3 linked regions of the Astyanax mexicanus genome follow. The protein of the gene in region 1 purifies or fractionates together with the protein of each later gene. This does not show direct contact. Links are inferred from orthologs where the notes say so. Each region holds a gene or a part of one and is shown on either strand. Other genes may lie near its edges.

What was found. Proteins that work in one complex are often made in the same cells at the same time.
Region 2: the proteins of alyref (region 1) and upf1 purify together in Homo sapiens (co-immunoprecipitation; 3 studies listed by BioGRID and IntAct, with this or other methods). This does not show direct contact. The link is inferred for Astyanax mexicanus from reciprocal best matches to the Homo sapiens genes ALYREF and UPF1.
Region 3: the proteins of alyref (region 1) and complement component 1 Q subcomponent-binding protein, mitochondrial purify together in Homo sapiens (affinity purification with mass spectrometry; 3 studies listed by BioGRID and IntAct, with this or other methods). This does not show direct contact. The link is inferred for Astyanax mexicanus from reciprocal best matches to the Homo sapiens genes ALYREF and C1QBP.

Annotation. Positions count from the first base shown.
Region 1 is NW_026040069.1:81,868-92,872, forward strand, and holds alyref (THO complex subunit 4), read left to right. Parts: upstream 1-6,430; 5' UTR 6,431-6,595; coding exon 6,596-6,853; intron 6,854-8,506; coding exon 8,507-8,668; intron 8,669-8,760; coding exon 8,761-8,908; intron 8,909-9,118; coding exon 9,119-9,185; intron 9,186-9,265; coding exon 9,266-9,458; intron 9,459-9,646; coding exon 9,647-9,661; 3' UTR 9,662-10,226; downstream 10,227-11,005. Other genes in the region: mcrip1 (mapk-regulated corepressor-interacting protein 1), read left to right, coding at 1,295-1,410, 1,503-1,598, 4,313-4,368. UniProt on the Homo sapiens protein: Functions as an mRNA export adapter; component of the transcription/export (TREX) complex which is thought to couple mRNA transcription, processing and nuclear export, and specifically associates with spliced mRNA and not with unspliced pre-mRNA.
Region 2 is NC_064411.1:48,583,987-48,594,069, reverse strand, and holds the start of upf1 (regulator of nonsense transcripts 1), read right to left. Parts: upstream 4,756-10,083; 5' UTR 4,564-4,755; coding exon 4,393-4,563; intron 1-4,392. UniProt on the Homo sapiens protein: RNA-dependent helicase required for nonsense-mediated decay (NMD) of aberrant mRNAs containing premature stop codons and modulates the expression level of normal mRNAs.
Region 3 is NC_064408.1:12,095,791-12,105,248, forward strand, and holds the start of complement component 1 Q subcomponent-binding protein, mitochondrial, read left to right. Parts: upstream 1-4,703; 5' UTR 4,704-4,773; coding exon 4,774-5,023; intron 5,024-6,205; coding exon 6,206-6,356; intron 6,357-6,805; coding exon 6,806-6,899; intron 6,900-7,637; coding exon 7,638-7,733; intron 7,734-7,858; coding exon 7,859-7,984; intron 7,985-9,458. Other genes in the region: znhit3 (zinc finger HIT domain-containing protein 3), read right to left, coding at 1,348-1,431, 1,540-1,611, 1,752-1,789, 3,440-3,507.

The DNA.
Region 1 (11,005 bases):
TTTATACTCTCGCTGAGCTGCACAGTGAAGCATCAACGTGCCAGAGTGAATATAATTAAAAACATTTCAATTATCAGAGTTAAATTATATCAGCCCAGTATAGCATTCATTTACACTAATCTTCAATACACAGTGTGCTTTAATAATATCATATTATATAATTCACTTCTGGTGGAATCTACAGTATTTATCTCAGTATATACAGCGTTATTTATCTCAGTATTAAGCTCAGTATATTTTTTCTCAGAGCAGTAAAATATCGCTATGGCAGTTTTTTCCTCTTATTTTAGTTTTTACTGAAATCCGAAGATATAAAACATTTATCTGTTTATTTACTGGTGGGTAATTCAGTACAGTGTGGGTGAAATGGTCCGTCTGATTGGCCGTGGGGAGAACGTGTGAATTGTCTATTGTTTTGTGGTTTTGTGTAAACTGCTGTCGTTTCACTTTATTTCCATCCCTATAGATAAATGTAGGGGTTTCTATTCTTCTAAAGATCAGCAGCTGAGTTTAAAGCTGAATTATCTTTAAACTTTTATTTATTTAATTTTTTGTTTTAGTTTATTTATGCAGTAAAGTTAAATCACACTGGGATCGATTTAATTTTAAAGTGTAAATGGAATCTGGACAAAGTATAAAATCATGTTAATAAAATGCACATTTTCCTTTCTTTATTACATTTTTATTAAGGCAGAATTACAAACAGAAGCGGGTGATAGGTGTTTATATATAGTACATTATATCACAATATTTTTAAAACATCTTAAAAGATTCTTATAATAATATTTATCTCAGCACTGTGACGTGCAGAAATTTACATTAACAGACAAAATTACAGGTACTGTCCCATATGTTTCAAAATGTGCTGCTAATTAATCAGTTAAAACTCATTTTTAATAAAATGTGAAGCAGCTTCTCAGTGTTTCTTCAATGATCTTCCCCTCCTTCACTCCTCTATTCCATTATTTCCCTTCGACCTCCTTTAAGCCCTGAATAAAAAATGTTTTACCTTTAACTTCTTTTACTTTTACTTTTTTTTACTATTGTAAGTCATTTTGGACAAAAGCGTCTGCCAAAGTTAATGTAATTAAATTATTTAACTGATTAAAACGATGTGTCAGAACTAAACACTGTGAATCACTACCGCAATATTTATCACCAGACTATTAATACTAATAATACTATTATTATTATTTATCACAACTAATTAAAACACTTCCCAGCTGATCTGTGAATAATTGTAATTATATTAAATTCTGTAATCTAATAAAATCTCTCACGTCTTGTTTTTCAGCTCCTCTGCTCCCAGAATGCACACCTACAGACGCACCTCCAGCCCTCGCTCTCCCACCAGCACTGGTGAACTCTTCACGCCGGCGCATGAGGAAAACGTTCGCTTCATCCACGACAGTCAGTATCTCCACATCCACCTGGATTAATGATTATTAATTACATTAATGATTAATGATGTTTATAAACTGGCTGTAACTCTGCGTTCTCAGCGTGGCTGTGTGTTCTCAGAGATATTAAATCCCTGCAGAACGGAGAGCGTGGACCTCAGGAGTACGTAGAGAAGAACCCAAACCCTCACCTTCACTGTGAGCAGCTCCTTTAATCCCTGCAGATTAATAATCAGATTATTTTACACCGTTATCGGGATGATCAGTGACTGTTGGGGACTGTTGGGTCGTGGTTTTTACAGTTGGTCAGTAGAATCAGATGAACTCTCACTTTCGTCTGATACGGTTTATACTCAGTGTTGGGAAGGTTACTTTTAAAATGTAATCCCTTACAGATTACTGATTACATCACTCAAAATGTAATTTGTAACGTAATCAGTTACATTACTTCAAGTGAGTAACGTAATCTGATTACTTTGGATTACTTTAAATATTGTCATTTTTTTAAGCCTGAATGAATGTAACAAATAGATAAACAAATAAAACAGCCTTTTCAATCACTCTATAAAAATACTTATGAAACCATTTCATCAAACAATTTTATGAAACACTTCTATAAATTGATGATAAAACCATTTAAAACCAAACAATGTAACAACAACTGTAAGCTATCTACTTGCAGGTTTGCCTCCAGTGTAATTTTGACAACAAATTGTGATTTAGTCTTAGTTATAGTCTTGTGACGAAAATAGCATTTAGTTTTAGTCACAATTTAGTCATCTGAAATGTTTTTAGTTTTAGTCGACTTAATGTCATAAGAATATAGTCGACTAAAATTACAGTAAATTTAGTTGACTAAAATGTAAAGGGTGTAAATGTAAATGCTTGTTCATCAGTTCCCTTGAATTATTAACTCTACACGTATACGAAATGAAACGTTTAATAACCACTTGAGTAATATTGTTAATGTTTGAAAGTGAAATATATTTATATATGATTTAATGTATATTATTATTATTACTATTATTATTGTAGGTGTGTGACTATACATATTTTACATTTAAAATTTAGCTCTAGAAATCAGGTCATAAAACATCTGAATAGTTAAATTATAGTTTAAACAGAGCTGTAGATGCAAAAACTTTTAAAGGATCTAGTTTTATCTCCAGCATTAACCCAGCACACCTACTGGAGCTACAGTCTATAAATGAACACACATTCACACACTGTCCTGTAGAGATGCTCTCAGGATGTACTGAGAGACTTCATGAGTTAAAGTGAGAAACTGATGAGAAAGTGCTGTAAGGAACTTTACACAGACTTTTGGGTTCATAGATTCACTTATTTTATTGTTTTATTTTGGTTATATTATTGAGTTTCTGAGCTGCTCCTGCTTTAACACTAGCTATATCTTTCCCACTGTGAGACTAAACAGATGATCGGATCTTAATGAGTGAGTTCTGTATCAGTTCTGTGTTTTAGTGCACTGCCGAGTTAAACACATCAGCTCATGAAATAACATCAGTATTAAAACGCGGATCTCTGCATGGAGATCTGTGTGACTCTGGTCTGCAGAAGCTGAAAGATTAGTGGTGTTTTTACCGGAGATGGAGTCGCTCCACGCGGTTTACACGTTATCTTGTTTTTCGCGACGTCAAAAGAGAAATATATCGCTGAACTCTGTGGAGTTAACTTCCAGTCGAGCTCCGTATCGACAGTTTAATTCCGCGCGGCGCTGCTGCAGGAGAGGCGGGTACTCCACCTTCGCTAAAGTAGCAGTGATTGGATCTCTTCCTAGCTGGTCCCTACCTTTCACAGACCTAAATTAGTTCTGATTGGATTTCGTCCCTGCCAAACATTTTCGTCTCGTTTTTATTCGTTGACCAAAATGTCAGTTAATTTCGTCTCGTTGTGTGTGCGGAGCCGCTGTCTGCCCCTCCTCCCTGTGTGTGTGTGTGTGCAGCGAGACGGGAGGAGGGGCAGAGAGTTCCCTGTCATATCAGAGCGATTTCACCGCAAAATGTTATTTGCGTTTTGTCAGTGTTGGATTGGAAGAGCAAAAATAGGAAAGTACCGCAATGTAACCCTTTAATTTTAGCAGAGTAACTGTAATCTGATTACCACTTACTGAAGCAGTAACTGTAACGGATTACAGTTACTCATAATTTGTAATCTGATTACGTAACGCCGTTACATGTAATCCGTTACTTCCCAACACTGTTTATACTGATACCGGCTCGTTATAACGGCGCGTAGTTGATTGAGTGTCTGTGTGATAATTATAGTATTAATAGTATTATAGTATTATGTATAATTATATAATTAAATTGTAGAGACGGTCTGAGACGCCAGGCGTTCTCTATCTACTGTTCGGGATCTGGGTCCAGGTTTCTTCTGCTGATCAAACAAACAAAACCGAGTCGCTGCGCTTTCCTCCGAGTGTTAGCGCTGTGATGCTACTCGACAATGCTACATCAGCAGCAGTTCAAAAAGAGGCGGAGTCGGACTTCACATGTATCGGAGGAGGCGTGTGCTAGTCTTTACCATCCTGGTGTTGGGCCATCACTAGTGATGGGTAATTGACAGCAAAATTAGGGGGGAAATAAAATAAAAATTAGAAAAAAAAATTAAATATAAAATATGTTATTTTCTGCCTCTCTCACTTTAGTTTAGAAATCTCATCTGCTGCACTTTCCATTTAAATTAAATGGGAGTGAACTGGGACGAAGTTCCACCTGCAGCAGCTCCTCACTATAAAAGCATCAACACGTTAACCAGACGACTTTAAAAACATCCAGAAGGGTTTTTCAGCTCTGTTGTTATCGGGTGGGAACATGTACATATATTTAGTTAGTAAATGTGTTTTTGTGTCACTGTTAAAGTGTTTGATCTTAATTTCATCTGTGTTTCAGCTTTTACCCCATTTGACCTTGGCGACCTGAAGAAGCGAAACACAGAGAGTTCCTAGATCTTCTTCCCCCCTGTCCTCCGAGATCACCAGCCCCCCCCGTCCCCCCGTCCCGTCCCCCCGTCCTGTCCCTCTGTTACTCCCTCCTGCCCTCGGGACATGGACCTGTCCCCCTCAGTCCGGAGTCTCTGACTCGCGCTCGGGGTAAACTGACCCCCCGCTCTGCCTCCGGACAGGACCCAGTCGAACCCCTGCGCTTTGCTCGGGCTGCGGGTTCGGGACGGCCCGGAGTCGGATTTCAGGGATTCTCTCGGCTCCTGGTTTTTGGTTTTTGGAATTGGATTTTTTTCGTTGTTAAGTGTATTTATTCAGAAACGTGGAGTCGGACAGTGAGGGACAGACTCTGAAGATTCGACGATCTAAAAACCATAAACTCATTTAAACCATGTTACTCTGGAGGGGCAGTTTTTTTTTAGGAATTTAGATGGAAAGAAAGTTTATAGTTTATGGTTATACACGTGATCATACGGACGAGTTTATGATTATAGAGGCGAGTTTGGAAAGCCAAAGGTTTTTAATTAAGAAACTTTTTTTTTATAAATAAATAAAACTTTCAAAGAGTTTAATTACTTTTTCTGCATCATAAATAAAAATAAGCCTTAAAATACAAAAAAAGAGACTTTTATCTCTTTACGTTTCATTCTCCTTACAGCACTGAGACACTGAGAGTGTAAACATGCACTTCATAATCCATAATCTGATTACTGCTGAACAGTTCAACACTAATCAATAATTTATATCAGCCTGGGTATTCTGATAATGAGAGTTCACACAAGTCTAACAATAATCAGTAGTTACATCAATTTAAACTAACATTAAACGCACTGACCCGGATTTATTATATTATAATTTATTATAATTTTCCAGGAGCACAAATTAACCGTGCAGCTGAGGAGAGAAGGTCACTGTCCACAAAAGTCACTTTTTAAGTATTAAATTCTCAGGTGTGTGTGTGCAGTTTGGACAAATCTCCTTTAATGTTTTTCTACTGTGTATATTAATATTTAATAGACAGAAGCTTGTACAACACTTGGAATTGTGGCCCAGACGGTATTTTAGCTGATGATGATTCAGGACTATAGAAACTGCCGCAGGGATCGGTTCTGGTCTGGGGGAGGTAAAGGCAGTTGGAAGAACAATAGGCTGCTTTTCACCTGAGCACAGGTGAGAATAGCTGACCATTCACCTGATCAATTGTCAATGGCTTTCTGAGTCTCTGAGTGATCGCCTTAATAAGATGTGTAAAACAGTCCATCTATCTGAAACACCTTAAAGTGAATAAAGTAACAATAATAAGAATAATACAGCAAATGGGCTTTTTTCTCTGGTTGTGAGAATTCAGTTTGGTCCACAGAAACACAAAAGCTCTAATTCTCACCTGAACTATGATACATATATACTATAATAAATATTGCTATGGAAATTTAGTACAGAATTATTGCGCATATGCTCTCTAATAGAATAGTGTTAGTGTTAATATTGGGTTTAAATTAAAGAATTTTAAGAAAGCATTAGTGAAAATCTTGCATTGTATGATTTGTGTTTATTTCCTTTAAAACCGATGAAAACATTTTCATACCCCTGCTTTATTTGAATTATTAGATTTTTAGAAGTTACGTCTCACAATGTAAAAAAAAGTTCCCCAGTTCCAGTGCTGTTGAACTGTTCCATGTTTATTCACTGTGTATGTATTAAAGTAAGGAAACTAGATAAAATTTTGGTAGTTGGAAGTTAGTTTTTAAACTTTGATAGATTTCTCTTAGTAGAACTCATTAAAAGGGAAAGTTTAAATAACTGTAAAACACTGGAGATTATTTATTGTCAGATTTGCTGCACTTTAGTCACAGTGTTGGAGTAAAGTTAAGATTAAACAGAAATAAATTAACTGGTTTAAAAAACAGGAAATTAAAGCATTAATGATTTAGGCCTGATGTTTTAGTGAGGTATTTATATATGTGTGTATATACATATATGTATCTTTGTTGTTGTTGAGTTGTCTCCGCCCAGCGGCGGAAGTAATGTTGTGCGGAAGTGCGTCACTGTCTCCTTGCTTATAAGCGCGTGAGGGCGGCAGGGAGCAGTTTCCGGTCGGCGGGGCGCGCGGGTGATAGATCCGGGTATCAGCGGCGCGTGATTATAGAGTTTATACTGCGGTGTATACAGGAGTATAGCTGAGTATTAGTGTAGTATATAGCGGAGTATAAGAGAAGTATAGCGCAGGGTCAGCATGGCGGATAAGATGGACATGTCTCTGGATGACATTATTAAGCAGAATAAGCAGCAGCGCGGCGGTGGTGGAGGCGGAGGCCGCGGGGGGAGAGGCGGCCGGGGCCGGGGAGTGGGAGCCGGCGGGGGCCGCGGCGGCAGCGTGGGGAGACTCGGTGCCGGAGGATTCGGAGGCCGGGGCGGAGGAGCGGTGGGGCCCATGCGGAGCCGGCAGAGCCTGGGCCGCGGCAGAGGCGGCAGACCCGCGCCGTACAGCAGGGTAGGAGAATCCGCAGCAGCGGCCGCAGGGCCCGGGCCTAGCTCAGCCCGAACCCGGGCCTCTCCGGAAAAATGTTCCTATAAAATGTGTTGTGCATTATTGTTCTCTCTTCCCCCCCAAAACCAAAACCTCGGTTCTCCCACGGGGTTTAGCTGAGCGGATCCAGCGTGGCTAAAGCGCCCTAACTAGGGCACACAGGCCGGCGCCATTTTGGAACAGCAGCAGCGGGGCGCAGTGAAATGGAGAAATAGTGAAGAAGTGATTGAGAAAAAAGGGAGAAGCGGAGGATCTGCTGCTTTATTCTCCTCCAGAGTTCTGCTCTCAGCGTCCAGGCGGGTCTGGAGACCCGGAGATCAGCGGGGAGACCGGCGGTGTTTTGTGTTTTTTGCGGGAGCTGAAGAGTGCGGATCTTTTGTTCGGAGTCTGATGAAGAGAAACGGCTTTAATTTCAGCCTGAATATCAGATTCACCGCGGATTCTCCTTATGAAGAATGGACTCTTTAATCTCTAAATCTGTGTTAATCTCTGCTGCAGGTTTAGAGTTTATAGGAGATTATATAAACACTTATATAAAGTTAGCTCAGTCAAAATGGCGTGCTCTCAAAATGGACGCTGATCTCTTCAGTTCCTCAAGAGCTTTAATCAGGCAGCACTGGACTCTATTTTTATCTCCATTTTTAATTTTTTGATGGACTGGCTGAATCCACCACCTGTTTCTTCTGGAGATCTGAACTCTGAAGACCTGCAGAGATTTATTTAAAGACTCTGGGGTTTGTTAGTTTAGCAGTTTTAACCTGAGATCACATCAGAAAACACAATCCAGATATTAATCACCAACACAATCTGTATTATAAATACAATTTCTAGTAGTAATGTTTGGTTTGCAGTTATATACACATTCTGATTAGCATATTACCACAGATTTACCTGGAAATACTAGCAAACCTTAGTCAGTTAATCATTTTATTATTTTTTACTCTTTTGCTGGCAGTAACTGGTGTTCTGCTCTTTACTAACACATCTTATTTACTTCCACATCTGCTCTTTTACGTAAACAACCTGAATGACTTTTTGATTTCTAAAAAAAAAATGTATTTCTGTATAAATCATTTTATGGTACTTTTGGTTGCTATATGGTTCAGTGAATCTGTAGTAAAGGCACAGTTTTTGACGAGTAACAGTTAAAAGTTGGGTTAGGACTGTTTTTAATGGTTATTTTAGACTAAAACTGCTTCCTGTATGTTGATGGTAGCCTAGCATGTGGGCAAAAATGGGGCGTAATCATGGGCCAACTGGTTTTGGCAATAACTTTTAAAAGTCACGTTCTGTTCTTATAACTGCCTTACATTTTTTAATCTGTTTATTTGGTTTGAGTTATTCTTTGCATACGTATGAGTTTATTGAGGGCTCTTTTTAAAATGTTTAAAACTGCAGTTTTAGTCAGTGTGTAGTTTTCTCTGTTGCCTCCTTTCCCTGCACTGGCGTACTTGTGTAGTGATGGGGTGGGCAGGGGTGGCTGGAAATCGTGGTGAGCGCCAGATGCGCTGGCCTGGTTGAGGCGGGGCCCTGCTTGCCCCAGCACCCTGCCGAGTGGACAGTCAGTGCCAGCCGGGACCCGAAGTCAGCAGGTGCGTTCTCTTTCGTCTGTTGCAGCCGAAGCAGCTCCCCGACAAGTGGCAGCATGACCTGTTCGATAACGGCTACAGTGCCGGTGCTGGAGGTGGCGGTGGTGGCGGCGGCGGAGCTGGAGTGGAGACTGGAGGAAAACTGCTGGTGTCCAATCTGGACTTCGGCGTCTCAGACGCAGATATTCAGGTACAGTGGTGCAGTAGATTTGGGGGGGGGGGTCTGTATTAAAACGCACAGTCTTGGATTTGAATCCTGACTTCGCTTGTTTTTGTCCGAAGGAACTCTTCGCTGAATTCGGCACTCTGAAGAAAGCTGCGGTGCATTATGACCGGTCGGGGCGGAGCCTCGGCACCGCAGACGTTCACTTCGAGAGAAAAGCAGACGCTCTGAAGGCTATGAAGCAGTACAATGGGGTTCCACTGGATGGTGAGCTTTTTGATTTTATTCTACTTGTTCCTTTTCAGAGAAGCTTAAACCTAAATCAGCCATTTCTTCCTTCTGAGTGAGTTCAGATGTGTTATTGCCCAAAGGTAGAAATGGTTGGTGTAGGGTTTAGTTGGAATTGCTAATCTTTTACAGATTTATTCGCTTGTCACTTATTACGAAGTTTTTAAATGTAATTATTTTTTTCCACAGGTCGTCCAATGAACATTCAGCTGGTGACATCACAGATTGACGCTCAGAGGCGAGCCCCGATGCAGGGGTCAGTACAGGTTCTCCTGCTCTGTCTGAATTAGTGAGGGTTTATTTATGTTCACCTAATAATTTCTGTTTCAATTTTAGTTTGAATCGAGGTGGTGGAGGAGGAGGAATGAACAGGAACAGAACCGGGGGTTTCGGGGGTTTACAGCGAGGCCGTGGAGGTCGGGGTGGAGGACTCCGAGGCCGCGGTAGAGGAGGAGGTGGAAGAGGCAATAACAAACAGCAGCTCTCGGCAGAAGAACTGGACGCTCAGCTAGATGCCTACAATGCCAGGGTACGTAACCTGACTATGGCTCACTCATGTCTCCTTCAGACCCCTAAACCCTGTCTTTGGGGTCAAGCAGTATTTAAGGTGGAATGGAGATTTAAAGTAGTGTTATGCTCCTGAATAAAGTGGCTGGGACAGTGATTTGACGAGGAGTAAAATGAGTTTTTCTGAATTCTGTTCTCTTTTATCCTCAGATGGATACCAGCTAAACCACGCTGACCTGCCGAGCCGTGTTCATGTCTCCTGGTGTGAGATGGTGGTTGTTACAGCTTTGAATATGGTGGACATTTTACACTTAACCGTCTTCAGAAGTGATTTAAACTTGTGTACCAATATTTTCTCCTTTTAAATCTCGTGTTTTTTACCAATTTTTTGTTTTTAGTTTTTTTTTTTCTTCTTTTTTGAGAGAACTTGGTCTGACTGTAGGAGTTGATGGGGGTGCTTGTCTTTACCCTCACTTTGTAGATCGTTGTAATAAAGCCTGCAGTACATCCACAGATTCTAAGCAATGCCTCTTTCCTTTTGTACAGAACATGCAGTTTTAATGTCTGTGTACAGAAGTTACGCAGGTTTGTAAAATCATTAAGACTACTTTGTATACCAAATGTACTGCCTAATTGTGATGAGCAGGCTTGCGTTTTTATTTTATTGCATAACCTGTACTGTTAATTCATGGCCACAGTTTTGTAGTTTAGAGGAATGTTCTAACTTTTCTGTTCTACTTCCTGTATCTCAATCCACTTTATTTTTGTACATAAATGCAATTTTCAAGTCTCATGCTTCAGTTAGCATTTCTTGGTCTTACGGTCTGCTTTTACTTTAAGGAGTTTATTGGTTGGGAAGTGGAAGTACTTGTCACTATTTCCTGTTACTAAATGTTGAGTGTAAATTGTAGTTTGAGTAACATTTTCCACAAAAATTTCTTTAAACTTTCAGTTTGTCAGTTTACACAAGTGAAGACTCTCTGGGGCTTCAGGTGATCAGAATAGGTTTAGTTCTTGGTCTATGGGAAGTGTGTTCAGTGTTCTAGCAGCTTCTAATGTTCAGAACTCTTCACTAATTTTTTAAAGAAAAGAAGGTGGGATTCTTACCTCCAGGAGAAAGATTATTGAAATGTTTCTGTAGCCACTAGAGGTCACCAGCTGTTTTGAATAGAAGCTCTGGTTCTAATACATGGCCTCGAGTGGATGGTAACTCTGTGCATATACCCAATTTCAGACTGATATAGTTTCTGTAGGATTTAAGAACAGCGTCAGACGGGTCTCTTCAAAATGAAGAGTACCTCCCTGCACTATTAGTGCTGGTGTATGCCGGTGTAATTTGCAAGTGGGAATCTGTATAAACATCTGATGTGGGTTACTAATTCAATCAGTGCTTTTTATAAGATCTAAATCTGTGAAATATTTAATTCCTCTCAGTTCTCCTTAAAGGAAAGTCTAAATTAAGTTTGGGCTGTGGTTCTGACCCACATGTTGCACTGGTGTTTACTGGGTTAGATTGAACTGCAGGAATTGCAGTATTTTAAAGATGCTTTTCAGTGGATTATTCTGGCT
Region 2 (10,083 bases), on another chromosome or scaffold:
ATCACTAATAGTCATTATTCTTTTGGATAAACATCATTCATTTCTAAAAGTGAAACAAATTCAGATCCTCTCTTTTACATTAAATGGAAAAACAATTTTACATCATTAACTGGAAAGCTGTTTTTGGCACCCAAATACATACAATTACATACAATTACATACGTACAGCAGTACCAATGCCAATCAAAAGTTGGCAGGTTACTTATTTTCTACACTGTAGATTAATATTAAATACCTGATAACACCTGAGGGATACATATGGATTTATGTAGTAAAAAAAAAAAAAGAAGAAGTATGTCTGGGCTTTTATAGGATATTTTTTTTTAAATAAATAAATAAATAAATAAGGTATGATATGGTGTAGAAAGATTCGATGAGCTGCTCACTGAATTTATCTGATTACATTTTTAATTTGGCATCAACGTTTAGAAGTGAGTCTGGGCTCTTATGGGTTAAAAGGTGCCTTATTTTTGTTCTACACAGGTAAAGCTGGGAAACAACTGATAGTTTAACTAGAATAATAACTAAAGGTATATTGGAAAGCCAGTTCAGTCACTGTGGTAAAGAGTCTAAATTTCTCCCCTGTAGGCTTGGTTTGCTGGTTAGTTTGGTTAGCAAGCTTAGCTTTGTCAGCTGTTGTGGTGCTAACTTCTGTCAAGCTGAGTGCTTAGCCGAAAAGCTAACCAATAGTTAACCTACAGTTTAAACCAAAATAACAATAAATAGATGCTATTAAAGGGGACATGAAACATTTCAGTTTGTACAAGTTTTCTAAGGGATTAAATATAATGGAATTTATTTGGGGGGAATTTTTTATATAAAATGTTTACACACTAAATTATAATATATTTATGTTTGTTACGTTTGAGCTAGGGCGCCGCCATGTTGCCCGTGCAGCACTGGTGACGTCACGAGGTTGGTTGGTTTAAGATCCCAGGCATATAGCTAGAGGAAAAGAGCGTATTGTTTGTCGAGATTATGGATGAAGACGAAGCTGAACTAGGCTAACATGGAGCATTTGCTCAGAGATCTTTCCTGTATAAACCTGAGCAGAACTTTTCAGATGCTTTTCTGAGAGCGAGACGTTTTGGGAGTGTTTATTCTCTCTCTACGTGGAGCCGTGCAGAACCCTGCAGCACGTCCACAGCAGGTACTGCCATCCAGTTAACCAGCTAGTTTATATACATTTAGCTATTTAACATGCAAAGTCCAGAGTTCATTAAGACTGAATGAAACGAACATGATTTAAGTGGATATTGAAACACCAAGGCGCTGTTTGGTTGATAAACCGTTCAGTTTAGAAGTTAGAATGCTTACTGGGTACTTAGCTTCATCTAGTTAGTGTTAGCTAGTTAGCTAGCGTTGGCTAGCTAGAATAAGATAGCTAGCTAAGTAGCTAACGCTAGCTATGTTATCTTTAAATTGTCATTTTATCTAGATTTTCGGCAACGGTACCTCTCGCTGCTCTGCTGGGTGGGCGTGTTGTTTGGCTGGTGCGGCTCACAGCTGCTGCTCTCATAGTAACGTTACCCATTCAGACGGTCTGTACATCTCAGCTGATCAGAGGAAAAATAAAAAACGGAGGAAAAAAGCCTCGGACTGCAGCTTATTTATCCGGCGCTAATGCTCCTGACTCAAACCCCTCTCCTTCACATAGTCCTGGTCTAGAAAGTGCTCGCCACTAACCCCTAGCGTTGCAGATAACCGGAGGATTCTCACGATTCAGCGCTGCGAGGGTATGAAAGTGAAAGTAAATATTTCTCATTCCTCACCCTATTAAATTTCACTACTCCCAATATTACTACACACAGGGGCAATACAAAAGTGCCCCCCCGCTCTGCATTGAGTTTTGGTTTGGATTTTATTATTTATTGAGGAGCTAAATTACGGTATTCTCATAGATTATAGTAGTGAGGCGTGCGAGAACCAACCTCGTGACGTCACTTTCAGCGCTGGGACAAGATGGCGCTGCCCTTACTTAAAAAAATGACATTTAGATTGCTTATTATTTTAATTCCGCTTCACTGACAACTGTTAAACTTCTAAAATTTGTTAGAGTGAAAATACATCTTGTGAATTAAACTAAATACTTGAAGTGTTTCATGTCCCCTTTAAACCTAGCTAGAGAAATATTTAGAAATTCTCTCCTATAGACTTGGTAGGTTTGCTGGCTGGCTAACTTATAGCTAATGTAGCTTTGCCACCTCCTTAGCCACTTTAAAAAATTAAAACATTTGTGTTGAATGATATGCATTGCAGTCTTTAAAATTATAAAATGTACATAAATAAAAATAAAATAAATAAATGTTGCATGTTAGTTTTTTTTAAATATGCATTTCAATATTCAGTATCCGGTAAACTGGACATTTGTAAATAAAGGCATGAAATCTGCAAAATTATCAACTAAAATGAGATTCAAGGAAAAAACATAGTCCATTAACACTACATTAACCATCTATGGCATAATTTTCGGTTATTGCACCTTTCCATGCCATACAATACCTTATGTATTTTTAATATAATGTTACATAGCATATCTATGTTCAAAACAATGATGTGTACAAGGGGTTTCTAACTATGTATATGTGCAGGAACATGTACATTTGGCTGTTAGTATTCTTACATTTTTCTTGTAAACTTACTAAAAATATTGTTTTCTTCTGCAGTTAGACCACTTTTGTTAATCATGTTAAAGCAGTGGTTTTCTTTCATCTCTGCTCCTGAAAACCTCTTCCTACTACCCTGCATTTTGGGTGCTTTCTTTATCTAAAACACCCGATTCAAATTACAAGCGTGTTATAAAGTCAAAATTTAAATTTGAGTTTGCTATATCGACAGTGACTGACAAGCTTCCAAATATTATATTTTTTCCTCCCCCAAAAAATATATAATTCTTCTTTTTCGACACTCAAATACATACAATTAGCTACATAAATACAGTAATAGTAAAAAGTCTGGTAAAAATTCAATATTTTTCTTAATTTATTTATTATTAATATTAAGATTAACACTAAAAGGCATTAAAATAAAAGGGAAAACATAAGACATTATTTTAAGAAATAGAATAAATAAAACTTAAATTTTCCAGTAGAGTGCTGGACATATGTAATACATTGTAAATTAGATTAATATTAAAAGACATGAAAAAAGAATTTAACTACTTGACTAAATTTAATTTGGCATCAATATTGAGAAGTGGGTCTGGGATGTTATGGGTTAAAATGAGTAATGGTTGTTTACTTATGTTCTGCAGGAGTAAACATGAGAAAGAATGCTTTAAATTAATTTTAAGTGTAAATTGAAATTATATTGGAGCGAGGAGTTCCTAGTTTGTTACCTGTAGCCTAGGGTGGTTTGTTAGTTAGCTATCTAGGCTAGCTAGCTTAGCATGGCTTTGCCAGCGGTTGTGGCGTTAGCTAACGTTGGCTAACTTTTGCCAAAAGCTGACTGCTTAGCCAAACCAGCCAAAAAGCTAGCTGTTAGCTGAAAGTTAGAGCGTTGATATGCAGTTTAAACCTAAATAACAGGAATAAATAGATGATATTTTGTATTAGTCCAGCTAGTAGTGTTTAGAATATAGTGTTACGCTAAAGTATATCTTAGCTAGGTAACTATGTTTACAGCTCTGGAAAAAATAAGCGACCACTTAAACACCTCTGGAATAAGTTAATCAAGAAGAAGATGGATGATCACAACCCATAAAACCAAGCTGAACTGCTTGAATTTTTGCATTAGGAATTATCCAAAAGCAGTGTGTACGACTGGTGGAGGGAACATGCCAAGATGCATAAAAACTGAGATTAAAAACCAGGGTTATTCCACCAAATATTGATTTCTGAACTCTTAAAACTTTACTAATATGAACTGGTTTTCTTTGCATATTTTTGTTATTTCAGCCATTTCTCATTTTCTGCAAATAAATGCTCTAAATGACAATATTTTTACTTGGAATTTGGGAGAAATATCGTCCGTAGTTTATAGAATAACAACATTTTTCATTTTACTAAATATTATGCCAATAAATAGCAAAACTCAGAGAAACTGATTCACAAACTGAAGTGGTATTTTTTTTCCAGAGCTGTAATAAATGTCAGCGAGGCTAAAAGCGCGTTAGCTAGCTAAGCTAAGCTAACGTAGGTAGCTAGGTTACGCCATTATTAACACGGGCACGGTTAGCTAGGCTAGGTTAGCCAACTAGCCTGGATGCTAACGAAGCTAAGCTAAGCTAAAGCGCTATTTTTTAACACGCAGAAAATAAACAAGCCCGCTAGCTAGGTTAGCTAACAGGTTAGCTTAGCGTTAATTCCGCTAGCCAGCTCCGTTTTCCCCCCACGCCAACTCCACCTCGCGGTCTAATATTCCACCAAACGCAGAGGAATGGGAGTTAGAGACCTGGTTGTCCAGCTGGCTCTGGGTCTGGCCCTGTGTCTGGGTCTGGCTCGGCAGGGTAAAGTCGGTGAACTCGAACTCCGAGCCCTGGGTATCGGCTCCCAGCAGCTCCGCTTCCTCCGTGTCCAGGAAGGTGAGAGTCTGCGAGCTCGGCCCGTACGCCTCTACGCTCATATTCTCCTGTATTCGTATCGTGACCGGCGGCGTCTGTCTTCCAAACCGACCCCCTCCGAGACCAGCGCGCTGAAAAACGTGCAGAAACGCAGCCCGAGTCCGTGCGCGGAGCCCGTTTTCCGTTAAACTCGGAGCAGAACGACGTTTCTCAAATGAAAGCACACTCGCTCCAACTCCCACTCGAAACGGCGACGTAAGCACCAAGCAGCGCACGAGCTGCTGGCGTAGAGCGCAGGGCGGGCGCGTGACGTCCACACAGACCTGCACACATTTTCAGAGAAGAGACATTTATCATAGCACTAATAAAATAAATAGTTATTAATTACATTTTTGACCGTTTGAGGCTAAATGCCGCTAAAAAATAAATAATAATAATAAAAAAATAAATAAATAAACAAACGTTATTTTCACATTTTTGCATTTTGCAAGGATTATACCATCAGATTTGTTCTACACGGTCAGTGCAACGTTTATTGATAAGTTTCAGGCTAAATGCAAACAATGTAAAATTAGATGTAAAAACGAATTATTTAACTTGTATGTAGTTTAGTGTACAAGAAATACGTTTTCCCATTTTAGTTTTCTCTGCACCTCACAATCGGGTTTTTAAGAAAAATTAAAAAGGAATCTTTTCTTTATTTTCTGATTTTTCAAATTTGCATTTTGTAAGGATTATACCATTAGATTTGTGTTACACGGTCAGTGGAACGTTACTTAATTCAATTTTCTGACCGTTTGAGGCTAGATGCAAAAAAAATTAACTTGCATGTAAAAACTCATTATTTATTTTTCACATTTAGTACAGTGTAGAAGAAATAAGTTTTCACTCAATTTTTATAATGCTTAGTTTTCCTTCTCTGCCACTCACAATCAGAATTTTAGGGAAAAAAACTTTATTTTTGAATTTTTCCATTTTTTACATCTTGTAACAAAAATTAGTTGGATTATACGGTCAGATTTGTGATACAAGATACAAAAATGGAAAAATCTGAAAATCGAGGAAAGGAAACTCCATAATTTCATTTGTTCAAACTATACTTGGATAGAGTACAAATTGGACAAACAGAAAGGCTGCAAATATTTGCAAATCCCTATGAATATTTTCATAAATGTCCCTCTCATTTATTATTTATATGTATGTTTATGTTTGTTGTTATGTTTTGCTACTGATTGGATTGATCATGTGAATTTTAATTCAGAAGAAGATTTAAAACTAAAAAAAAAAAGAAAAAAGGGAAAAGACGATGCTGATGCCACTTGTTTCGGATTTAAAGCAGTTAATAATCAAACATAGACTGCAAAAAAATCCATTGGCAAAACTATACAAAATCTATCTATATTGAGAGGTAAATACTTATATTAAAAAAAAAAATCTGCCAATGGGGTAAGCTAATCAAATTAACTTGGGTAATCGAAATTGCTGTTTTAATGCAATGAAAACAATGGCTTGCGAATCACTGTTTACACAAAATACTGAAGTTATGTTAGAACTAGTTGAGAATTGCTGTAAATGAAGAATATTAAAAAAAATCATTTTTATAATATCGCCCAGCCCTTAGGTAAGCAAATGTTCATTAAGACTTGGTTTGGATTTGTAGTTAGGTATGTCCCGATCACATTTTTAAAAAAATATTCAGTACCTAGTATACTGAACATTTGTAGTTAAGGGCATGAAATCTAGAAACATAATAATAAAATGTTCACAGCAGAGTGCAGAAATGATTTACTTTTTTTTCTCACACTCAGAAGTGTGATCCCAAATTGCCTAATGTGCAGTGAGGAACTGTGATTCGGGTAAAATGCATTAAAATGTTTTCTGTCAAATTCATGTTTCTTGTATTTTATGACATTTGTGTGGTATATGTACTAAAACCAGAAACAATTCATTTTCATCTTACCTTTTTCCAACATTTTCTTAACCTGAAACAAACCATGCCTTTAAGAATGCTAGCTGCATGAAAAAAAACAGTCTACAGTCATGACTGCAACACCCTTTATAACTTCAGGGTAAACTTTGGGCCAAGCTATGAAACATGTAAAGCGGGTCAACCCAAGTAGCATGGGGTCCTCTGATTGAGTCTTGGTTCCTTCCAAGGTTTCTTCCTCTTAAAGGGAGTTTTTCCTTGCCACTGTGTCACCATAAAAATTGGCATCTCTGTGGTGCTGCTCGGAAGGGGCGTGGACCTGTTTTTCTCTGTAAAGCTGATTTGTGACAGCTTTGTTGTAAAAAGCGCTATAGAAATAAAATTGAATTGAACTCTGTGTGTCATTTGTTAAATAACAGTGTCTTTATTTATCATGACGTAGATCAAATCACATTTTTTCCTGCAGAAAATCCATTTAATTCCAATAAAGCGTTCACAAGCATTTTTTTTTTCTCACAGCTGAAAATAACAAACCACTCCACAGGTTAAACGTGACATGATGAGAAAGACTGTTGGTAGGTAGACATCATAAACTGGAGCAACCAGCTTCACAGTTCCAGATTGGTCCAGTGTTTCTTTAATAAACAGACAAACAAATAAACAAAAATGCTCCTTTAAAAAAAAATAGACTGAAAATTAAGTAAATAAAAGTAAATTCTTCCACTTCCAGGATTTCCTGAAACTAAAACTTTCCTAAAGCTATAATATTTCTATAACTTATATAGGCACAATTCAGGCCCATAAGTTTACTAATATCATTGCGGTCATATAAAACGGTTCAATAAACTGAAATAGAAATAGAGATAGGAATTGCTCACATTAAAGTTAAGGGTAATATATTCTGCATAATTAAATAATTAAGATATATACCAAAAGACATTCAGAGTGTCAAATGCTTGATTCCCAGGTCAGAACTCTTCACAGTGGTTGTGTGAGTTAATAAACACAAACATGCTAATACCTTAATACATTAATATTTTAATTAGCTTATTATTCAGCAACACAAACACTGCATAACCCTGATATGTTATTGAAGAATGTGTTGAATTTTATAGGTGTTAAACGTGATTGCACCATATCTACTAACCAACAAATATATTATATTATATATTATTTTCAGCATATTATATTATATTTCAGTTTTGAATGGAATTATCCAATTTTATACAACATACACATTTGTGTGATTTGCGTTTTGATTTTGATAAATGCTGTGTTAAATCAAAACCACTGGAATTCAAATCACACTGTACTTACTATTGCAAAGTCATAATAAGTCTCTCTTTAACATCATATCACTCCGAATGACTGTGTATATCTTAATCATTGAACTGAATTATGCAGAAATTCTGAATTTATATTTTTTCCTATTTAAATATTAAGAGCATTATATACATTAATTTGGAGATGCTTATTTATTAAGACAGCAGTGATATATATGCTTGAGAATGTGAACTCTGACATCATTGTGTGGAAAAAGGTCACTGAGAGATGACAAACAACAGGTTATAAAGGTCAACCCTGATTTCACAGTTTCATTTATCACAGGAAAGCTGGCTGACAGTTAGCTGTAGTAGCCCTGAAGAGTTAGCTGTGTACAACGTTGGCAGAAGACCCTTGATAAAAGCAGAAGGCAACAGGATTTTCAAAGCAGTGTGCTTTGACCATGATCATGTATTACAAATACATCATTAATAATAATAAAAAAAAGATACTACTAGGGATGCACAGAATATTTGGCAACCGAAAGAATTCAGCCAAAAATGGCAAATAAAAAGCACTTTAGGTGTTCAGACAAAAAAATAAAAACAGAATAATTTACTGAAGGTACACTGAAGTAAAACGGCAGTGTTTACTCTAATGTTAGGATTTTTTAAAGCAAAGCTGATGTGTAGAGAGTGAGCAAACTACAGGGATAATATATAAAAATATAATTATATATTATATAATTATATATTAAGATAATTACTTAGTTAGAAATTTATGTTAATTTAAGTTTATGACTTGCTAGAACAGCACTGCTGAAATAAATGTATGGCCAGAATAGCACTACTGAGGTAAAGTGTAGTTCTTGGTTGGTTTGTCTGCTGGGATATTTAAAATCTTTAGTGTGTCTTTGAAAAGCAAGTCTACTTAATATTTTTACTTGTAAAAAGCAGCAAACTTAAAAATGTCTTTTTTTTTCGGTTTAGGCACAAACATTTTACTTCGGTGCATCCCTAGAACATCTAATAACTTTTAAGAGCTAGCTAATATTTCATTGCCATAGGCACTGTACAGGCTGACATTTCTATCCTTACCCCCACTTGTTTAGCCCACTCTTTTAGTGCACAACCCACTTGTTACTCATTCCCACCAAATACAACACGTGCTTTCACTTTCAGTATTAACATGAGTGTCTGTGCTAAAGCTGAACACTCCAGCTTCTCATTTTAACTGAAAATAAAATGTGTAATACTTTTATTGTCACCGTCACATCAAATCTTGTATCTCCAAAATGATAAATTTACATTAAAAGCCTGACCCCTGAATATAATGATCTAACTGGGAGGATAGTCCAGGCTCATGTTTAATTCAAAGTGCTGTAGTGTGCTAATGTAACATACAGGTGGCACACTTAATTTTAAGGGCCTTTTCTTTTTTTTTTTTTTTTTTACACTCACACTTTTTGTCTTCCTAAATGGGACTATGGTTCAATTGGGCAAGTGTGAATACAGTGATTCACTCGGATGCGGACCATATAATTACTACTACTAGCTATAAGTCAATTAATTGCATTGTTGAATTCTGTTTCATAGCTGTGCAATAGTTGTTAAGTGTTTTTAAAATATCTAATTAAGATCATATAATTGTTGTAGATCGATTTCTACATATTTGTTGAATTTAGCTTATTTATTTATTATAAAACTATAAGGCGCAGTAAAAATTCTTTAATTTTCCCACAAATATTCAGTGCTTATAATCCGGTGCTCCTTATGTATGAATTTTACCAGTCAGGTATTAACTAAAGTGCAGCATTAAACAGGAGTTTCAGTAAAGTTTCTCCAGCACTGGGGCTGGAGCAGTATTAGCATTAACTGCTAACTGCAGCACTAGCTCTTTCGCTGTTCAGGGGTAAGTATATTCGACTGTAGTTTACTGTGTTAAAACAAGGTATGTGGGATGAACCGATAGCTGAGTGTGCCCTGGGTTACCGGAACACTCAGGGTTTCTCAGTTTACCACTATTGGGCAGCATTTACTAGTGCTAACCATGTCTGGCTATTGTTGCTAAACGGGGCTGGCTAGTGCTGCTAACTGAGACTGGCTAAGCGCTTGCTAACTGTGGCTAGAGCTAGAGCTGCCAAGACTAGAAAAAAGACTAGAAGACGTTCATTGATAGTGCGCCTTATAATCCGGTGCACCTTATAGACTGAAAAATACTGATTTTAAAATAGAATAAACACAATGGAAATACAAGGGTTTTGATGTGACAGCAATGATATATGCAAAACAACTCAACTGCCTTCTGTTCATAGTGTGACCGGGGTATATTAAAAAGCTGCCGAGGTGTGAATATTATATACATAGCCTTTACTTCCTCTGTTTTCATTCAC
Region 3 (9,458 bases), on another chromosome or scaffold:
ATCATACCCCTAACCATTTTTTCCTGTTTTTAAGCAAAATAAAAAATAACACTGTTCTCATTTCCCATTATACATCTACTAGAGACAGATTATATCTGTCCAGTATCATTTATTTCACTTTAGTCCTGGATAAATGGAGATATCTGGAGTCCATTATTATTAGTATCATGACATTCTGGATAAAATACTTTTTTTTTTTTTAGGAGTGTGTCATATGTCTTATGCAATAATAAAATACAATTTTTATTTTGTTGCAGTAGTGTATTCTTGAAATTATTTTTTAAATTTAGTGTTTTGTCATATCGCCAAGAGTATCGTTATCGCAAAAATACCATTAAATATTGTGATATTATTTTAGGGCCATATCGCTCCACCCTACTATCTAACTAAACTAATAAAACACAGACAGTTGAATTTCTTGCCTCTTAATGTGTTTGAGAGCATCAGTTGTAAAGTAGTGAAGAGGTAGAGTTACAGGTATACAGTGAATTAAGCTCTATTTGAGTAATGTTCTAATCCAGATTATGAGAAGCAAGAACTGCTCAACTAAGTAAAGAAAAAAAATACTTTTTTTTTTTCTTTATAATTTTCCCATTTTCTCCCCAATTTACACGGCCAATTACCCAACCCACTCTTTAGGACTCCCCCTATATCACTAGTGATGCCCCAACACAACAGGAGGGTGAAGACTAACACAAGCTTCCTCCGATACACGTGAAGTCAGCCACCGCTTCTTTTCAAGCTGCTGCTGATGCAGCATTGCCGAGCAGCATCAGAGCGCACTCGGAGGAAAGCACAGCGACTCGGTTCTGATACATCAGCTCAAAGAGCCCTGTGTTGTGGACATCACCCTAGGAGTGATGTGGGGAGAGAGCGCCATCTACCCACCCGGAGGGAGCAGGGCCAATTGTGCTCCCTCTAATTGATGGTAAAGCTGCATAAAGGTGGTTTGAACCTGCGACCTCCTGCTTATAGTGGCAGCGCTTTAAACCGCTGGACCACTAGGTGCCCGCGAAAAAAATACTTTAAGAAAAATGAAGGTCAGTCAATCCTCAAGTGCAGTCACAAAGACCATCAAAAACATTATGATGGAACTGGCTCTCATCAGGACTGCCCCAGGAAAATGAGAGCAAGAGTCACCTCTTTTGTACAGGATAAGTTTATCAGAGTTACCAGCTTCAGAAACGAGCATTTTGGTTTGTTTAACACTTTTCAATTATTACATGGTTCCTTGTGTGTTCCTTCATAGTCTGGATTACTTTAGTATTCATTTATAATGTAGGAAACACTTTACTGTACCAAATATACAACCATGACAAACTGCCAACTAATTAACCAAAAACATACCTAATTGTTGAAGTCTTTCAAGAGGAACTCTGTCTGACTGGCTGTCCTCATCCAGGAGATCATCAGCAGTCCAGGGCTCCTCAGCTGAAATCACATTTTAATTAATTAATTAATTTTTTAAACAACCAGTTCAGAGTGTGAAACCTGTTTATAATGCTTATTTGTGGTTTCTGGAGCTCTTCACACACTCACCAGTGCTCGCACAGACTTCTGGAAGTGGTGTGGTGACAGGAGGTGTTGTATCTTTCACTTGCTGACAGGAATCTATATAAAACATACAGAAAAGTATTATTCATCAGAGTTAGGTTTAGGGGAACACATGTTACATGTTATATGACCAACTCTAGTAAAGCTGAACAGATCATTTACAGCAAAAATAAACATTAAACCAGAAAATTACTTACCATCAGTTTTGTGTTTCTTAAAGCAACCCAGTGAACAGCTACGATCAAAAAAAGAACACAAACGTTATTATTTGGTTTCAGAGCAGCCAATGCAGAAACAGCTTCTTCCCTCACGTCATCAGGCATCTAAACAGCGCTTAGTCCACCATCCACCTTGCACTTCACTTTAGTTACTTTTCATTTACACTGCATCCACCAACATTGGATTCTCACATATGGATTCCCACATAACCACAGATATAGTAGGCATACATGTGTACACAGTTCCTATATTTATGTCCTGTCTGTTTAAGTCAAAAGTAGACAAAAGGACTTATGGGGCACAGTTTGGGACAAGTCCTTAGCACCTTTAATTTTCTCTTATACCTGCTATTATTTATTGTCTGTATTAATAGTTGTTATTATAGATATGTATTGAGTCACATACATATATCAGCCAAAAGTTTGGACACACCTTCTTATTCAATGTTTTCTTTATTTATTTCTTTATTTAATTTATTTCCTACATTGTAGCTTAATATTAAAGACAGGAAAACAATTAATGGGCACTAGGGGTGGGCAATATTATATCGTATACAATATATCGTGACACAGAAATATCATGATATTAAAAATCCATATTGTGATAATAGGGCTGTTCTGTCTTAAAAGTAGTCTATTATTTACTGTGAAGCTTTAAGTATATTTATTGTATAATTGTTTTAGTTAGCAGTTTATCATCACTGTCCTATGAAAAACACTTATCTCCATTTTTGTTCATTTTTAGTTTACTACATAATTTGAACAGACAAACTGTCCCTTACACTGTGCCAAAATTTCTTAATGCATAGACCAATAGAAACTCTTCAAAATGACCTTAAATAAACTCTTTTTACATTGACTTCCACTGAAAGTTTACAAGGTTTTTTCTGTTTTGGAGATCAGAGTTTTTCATTGGACAGCGACAATATGCATGCACTAAATATTCTGCAATATTTTTTGCTGCATTATATTACTTTATGCTATATTATTTATTTTGCCACATTATGATTATTCTGTTATACTATTATACTATATTCCTGAAATGAATGAATTATTTTAGTTTTCCTATATCGCCAAGTATATCGTTATCGCAAAAATACCCTGAAATATCGTGATATTATTTTAGAGCCATATCGCGCACCCCTAATGGGCACATATGGAATTATGTAGTAAACAGTAAAAAAAAAAAAAAATTGTCCTCCACCTGACCAATCCCCTGATCTAAACCTGATGAACTGAGATGGTGATTTGAGGTGATTTAATTGGGATGAGCTGGAGCTTCACAGCGTTAAGGAAAAGCAGCAACTATTGTTCAGCACCTCCAGGAACTCCTTCCTTTAAGATACTGAGAAAACTTTTTCAGGTGACTCTCCCTCATGAAGACACTGAGATTAAAATACCAAGAGTGTGCAGATCTGTCCTCTAAGATGAATGAGCTACTAAGAATAATCTAAAGTATAAAACATTTTCTGGTTTATTAAACACTTTGTTTACAGAATAATTCAGCATGTGTTCCTGTATAGCTTTAAAATATACTTCAATATTAAATTTACAATGTAAAAGATTAATAAGAAGAAAGAAAACAAAACACACTGAATGAGAAAAAGAGGTGTGTCCTAACTGTTGGGCTGGTACAGTATGGGAGTGTATAACTGTGGTATACTCACTATCTGATCCTGCAGGCTGGGCATCTGTATTTAGGGAGATTTTCACTGCAGATTCCGCACAGCTGCATCACTCCACAACACGCTGCTCAACATACACACACACACACACAGTTTACACCGGAACAGCGCCATTATCATATAATATAACACTGTACATTAAATATTACACTGTTAATACAGCCATATACTCACCCACTTCTCAAATAACTTAAAAAAAGGAGGTTAAATGACTTGAAGTAACTTCAGCCTCTTAAAACACCTCTTCTCTCACTAGCAATGTGGAAACACCACTGAAAAGGGGAGGAGGCACAGCATTTCAAAATAAAAGTTTACAGAAAAAAAATATTTCAGCAAGACCTGACATAAAAGGAAACTATTTTGATATGCCCCTAAAGTCCTATCATAATTATTTAATTTAAATTAAATGTATTACTAGTAAAGACATCTAAAAAAAACCCTAAAAACTAAGAACAAATAGTGAATAGCGTTTATATATATATATATATATATATATATATATATATATATATATATATATATATATATATATATATATATATATATATATATATATAAACATTTTTCAGATTTTTGATGTTTTATCATTTTTCTTGCTTAGGATGAAAGGATGATTTAATCCTTTATTCTTTTATATTAATCAATTATATTTATTTCTTACAACATGTTATCGAATTATTTAACAAATTTTACATATGTTTTAATTTAATTTAGCAATTTATTTATTACATTAGGGACTGGCCTAAGCTTCTGTTGCCCCAGCTGAAAATTAAGTACTGATTTCGTTTCTTTTATTATATCTGTATATGCAATGTACACAGTACTAGTCAAACGTTTCTCATTTTATGTTTTTATTTATTTTTCTATAAGTTATTTTCTACCTTGTAGATTACTAGTTAAGACATCAAAACTCTGTAGCAACACATATTATGAAATTAGTTTTTTTTACTTTAATTTATTTATATTATATTTTTTGTATTGTTATAGATTTTTTTGCTTGTTCAAAATGAATTTCACTTTTTGCCAAACTTGAAATATTTAATAATGTGATGCCTAAACATTAAATTATGTATTTTATGAATATGATATTTTTAATGAATTACGCTGTTAAATATTTAAAGTTAAAAGTGAGACACATATAATTCAATTATACAATAAAACAGTGTATATGTGAGCAGTGACTTTGAAACTCAGAGACTTTTATTTTGAAAAGAGCCCTGTGATCAGCTCCGGCTTCGCACTCGGCTCCGTCCCCTGTCCTTCCCCACGTGTTTCCAGGCTATTCAGTCCTTCACTCTGCTGGAGATCAGGCCGCCATGCTGAAGTCCCTGAGCCGTGCTGTGAGCGTCGCCGCTCGGCTTTCTACCAAAGCCCCGGCCGCCAGGGCCGCGCTGGCGAGCCCGGCCCTGTGCGCTCCCAGCTCGGCCTCCACTCGGCCTTTTACCCGCTCCATCTGGATGCTGTGCAGCAGTAACGGCGCGACCTCGGGCAGCAGGCCGAAGCTTCTGAGCACGGAGCGGGGGCTGCCGGCGGTGCCCTGCGGCTGCGGGGGTCTCCACACTGAAGGTAACCTGTCTAATTTATCTGAAGGGGGATTATCCGCTTATATAACGCCGTGTGTCTGGTTTCATCAGCCGGTTAAAGAGAGACACAGAGGAGCCTGGGGCCAAGGCTGGAGAGGGAGCTGACTTATTATCTAGTTTATCTTTCTATAACTAAGATTTACTGTAATACTATGAGATATATAAATATAGTAGCTATTATATAGTCTTAATTTTGGTTTGCCTCTCATAAATTGGACTATACTTCTTATTTTTTATACTTTAATTAGATCTAACTAATGTAATATACTTGTAGTATACAGAGACAGAGCGTGACTGTAAATGTTGGTGTATGAGTTTGACAGCTACCCAAGTTAAAAGGATATTATATCTGGTTATTTGGGTTAATTCTATAAAAAAACTAAATGTAAATGAATGGTACTGAATGTGTGATTCTACTTCCGTTCATTTCTACAAGGAATGTGACCTTGATGAAAGTCAGAGCAGGGTTGAGGTTGAGTACTGTAGGTTAACTTGGATGACCATCTCCATCCAGATCAAGAACTTTTGAGTGGAGGGCATATTTAAGGATCCAGTTTAAGGTGCTTTATAAAATTAGTAACTGTAAAAAGTACAGTAAGGTAAATAATTATTTGATCCCTTGCTGATTTTATAAGTTTTCCCACTGAAAAAGACATGAACGGCCATTATTTATTTTAGTCAGAACAAAAAATTTAAGGGTAAGTTATTTTTAACAGAGAAAGAAAGAATATCAAAAATAAAATCCAGAATTATAAATATAAATTGTATAATTTTTTATTGTATTTCGTAGGGAAAAATATTGCGTATGTTATCCCCTAAAAACCATTAAGAGTTTTGGCTCCTACAGACTAGTTAGACGCTTCTAATGAACTCCTAATTACCTGCATTAAAGACATTTTAAAAGCCACAAGCTGTACAACATTTTGCTGATTTCTAAAATGAAACAACCATGCAATAATTATTGCATATTAACTATTCTTTTCCAATTATTTACACATGTACATTCATGTACATGATTTGTTACATCAAAATATTATATAATATAATAATAATATAATATAAAATTATTAAAATAAAAAGGAGCTAATGTCAATGCTTCTTGTCATTTTTAATAGATAAGCATTTTTTTATGTGTGGTGGTGATCATCCCTCTCTTCTCTTCCAGGCGATAAAGCGTTTGCAGAATTCCTCTCAGATGAAATTAAAGAGGAGAAGAAGATCCAGAAAAGTGCAACTCTTCCCAAAATGTCTGGAGGATGGGAGCTCAAACTCAACGGCACAGAGGCGAAACTCATTCGCTCCCTTTCTGGAGAGAGGTACGATTTTTATGAACAATTATTAAAATCATGATTGCATATAAAATGTCATTCAGGAGATCATGTGGTTTGAATCCAGGTCATGCATCTTGCCATCAGCTGCAGGAGCCCTGAGAGAGTTTGTCTTGCTCTCTCTGGGTGGATAGATGGCGCTCTTTCCCCTCATCACTCCAAAGGGTGATGTTGATCAGCACAAGGTGTCTGTATGTGAGCTGATGTATCAGAACCTCCTAGTGCGCTGTGATGCTACTCAGTAATGCTGCATCAGTTAGAAAAGAGGCGGAGTCTGAATTCACATGTGTCGGAGGAGGCGTGTGCTAGTCTTCACCTTTCTTGTGCTGTGGCATCACTAATGATAGGGGATATACAGCTGAGTAGCAGCTGAATGGATTGGATATTTGGACTAGCCAAATTGGGATCTTAGACTTACAGATTTATTTTTCCCTTAGGGTGACCATCACATTCAACATTAACAACAGTATCCCCCCAACCCTGGAGGAAGAGGAGGAGCCAGGGCATGGACAGAAGGCAGAGGAAAAGGAGGTAAAGCATCCTTCCATTTTTCACACTCTAAACTTATTTACAAATGGTTACCAAATTCCAATATATATATATATATATATATATATATATATATATATATATATATATATATATATATATATATATATATATGTATTGGTAATGCATGAATGTATGTTGTTTTTCTGCCATTTACACCACATTCTTGCATGGTGTTTTAGGTCTTTCCCCAGTATACATGCACAGATTACAGCACCATCATTTCTGACTTGTGCACTAAAATAAACCCCTATGATTTTTAATGCAGTTAAAACTAGAAGCCACAAACAGAAGCATGAAATTATTGCAGCTTGTTTCTGGAAGAAATTTGCTTAATAATTAGATTTTCCATTCCACCTTAAATGAAAGAATAGTCACATTCTACCACCTTAAAGTATCTTTAAGGGTAGATGAGAAAACAGTAACAGCACACAGATGCGAACCAAAATAGTGGATATATATATATATATATATATACACACACACACATACATGCACACTAAAAAAGACACTATAAGAGCATTATTTTATTATTTTGATTGTATTTTTTATTTGTGTCTTATCTTATTCATTCTTTTTTTTGGAACGTCTGTGTACTGTGTATACGTGCTGCTACTGAATGTCGAGAATTTCTCCCAGCAGCTTTTATATTAAACACGGTTCTAACAAATCTTTAATTTGATGTTTTGCTTCTTTTGTTGTTTCTTGCTTGTCTTTTAGCCTGAAATCGTCTCGACACCTAACTTTGTTGTTGAAGTCCTGAAACAGGGGGCAAAAAATGCCCTGGTGTTCGACTGCCATTTCCCAGAAGATGAGGTAAGACCTCTTAACTCCTGAACACTCAGACTCTGCTGGTTAAACCAGTCTAAGGTTAATATACAGTACAATACTGAGTGCTGTGTTGAATATTACTATATCTAAAGTTGTTTGTGCTTGAGCAGATCGGTCATGGTAAAGGGCAGGAGGAGAGCGATATCTTCGCAATTCAGGAAGTGAGTTTCCAGCCTGAAGGAGATGAAGACTGGAAAGAGACCAGCTACACCCTGAACACAGACTCTCTGGACTGGGTAAGAATACACCTGAGTGCCTGTAAATTACTCTTTAGCTTGTATAGATCTGGTTAGTGTGCCCCCTAGAGGCTCAGTCCCAGCTCCCACAAGCCAAAAGAAACAAGACATCCTTATATGTCCAAATTTGTTTGGTTTAAATAAACTGATACACAGAACATAGATAAGATGATCCAACAAACATCATCAAACTTCCAACTCTTTTATTTTTTCTTTCATTTTGTTTGGTATGTTTGTTAATAAATCGTTCCTTTTAGATACAGCTCTGTGGCATCCCTGGTACCATTTTTCATAATATGTAAAGAAAATGCATTTTTTTTTTATTAATTTGTGTTTTGGACATCTAACTCTGGCTGTTGATTGGCTTTTAAAAAAATAGATTGACCTCAAAAAGTGGTCATGTGATTGGTTTTAATTTAAATTGATTGACATGGCCACCACCCTTTGCTTACGCCCAATGGTTCTACAGCCTTCACTACTGAAATTCTGTCCTCTGGTGCTCAAACAATGCAACTGCATGTACTTTTTCTAGAAACAGAAAATGTAATTTTCAGTTTCACCCCTATTGCAGTTATAAATAATGATGTTTTCGCTGGTGGTTGTATTAGTGGATGCAAAAAGCCTGTTACTGGTTTCAATATCTCCTCCTACTCCTTTCTAAGCCCCGCCTCTACATGGTCATTTTTGCGCCCCTGAATTACAATTTTCAAACATGCCAAAAGTGGATAAACTCTTTAAATAAAAGAATTACAGTTGCTAAATTATGTCACACAAAGGTTGATAAAACATCCTAAAACCAGAATATAGCTTACAATCAACCAGGAAGCACTAAGTTATATAAAAGAGACTAATCTTAAAAAAGAAAAAGTGGGATTAATTTCAGACAGGGTTCGTACGGTCATTGAAAACCTGGAAAAAAATATGGAATTTTTGAAAATAGCAATTTCCAGGCCTGGATAAGTTTTGGAAAATTAAAAAAAACCCAGAAAGTGATGGAGAAAATCTATTTTGAGCCAACAAATACGTCAGCTCAGGGTTAATTAAGTAATTTAGCCCTACACAATGGAGCCTTCAGGATCTGACACAATTTATCATTTAAGATTGTCAACCTTTTTATCAGATTCATTTAAGACCTACTATAATCAATTTTAATTGTTGTAGTTGATTTCTTGTTTTACTGTGCATGTTTGCACTGGTGTTTTAAAAATCATTTGGTCATGAAAATTTGCCTTGAAGGCGTGGAAAAGTCATGAAAAAATCATGGAAATGTATTGGTTAAAGCGTGTATGAACCCTGTACAGAATTCGTGTTAATTCATAAATTAAATTGATTGATCCTTATAAATAATTAAATCTATAGTAGAAGCACTTTTGGTTATAAAAAAAAATTATATATATATATATATATATATATATATATATATATATATATATATATATATATAATTGTGGCACTCAAAATAAGTATGTGTATA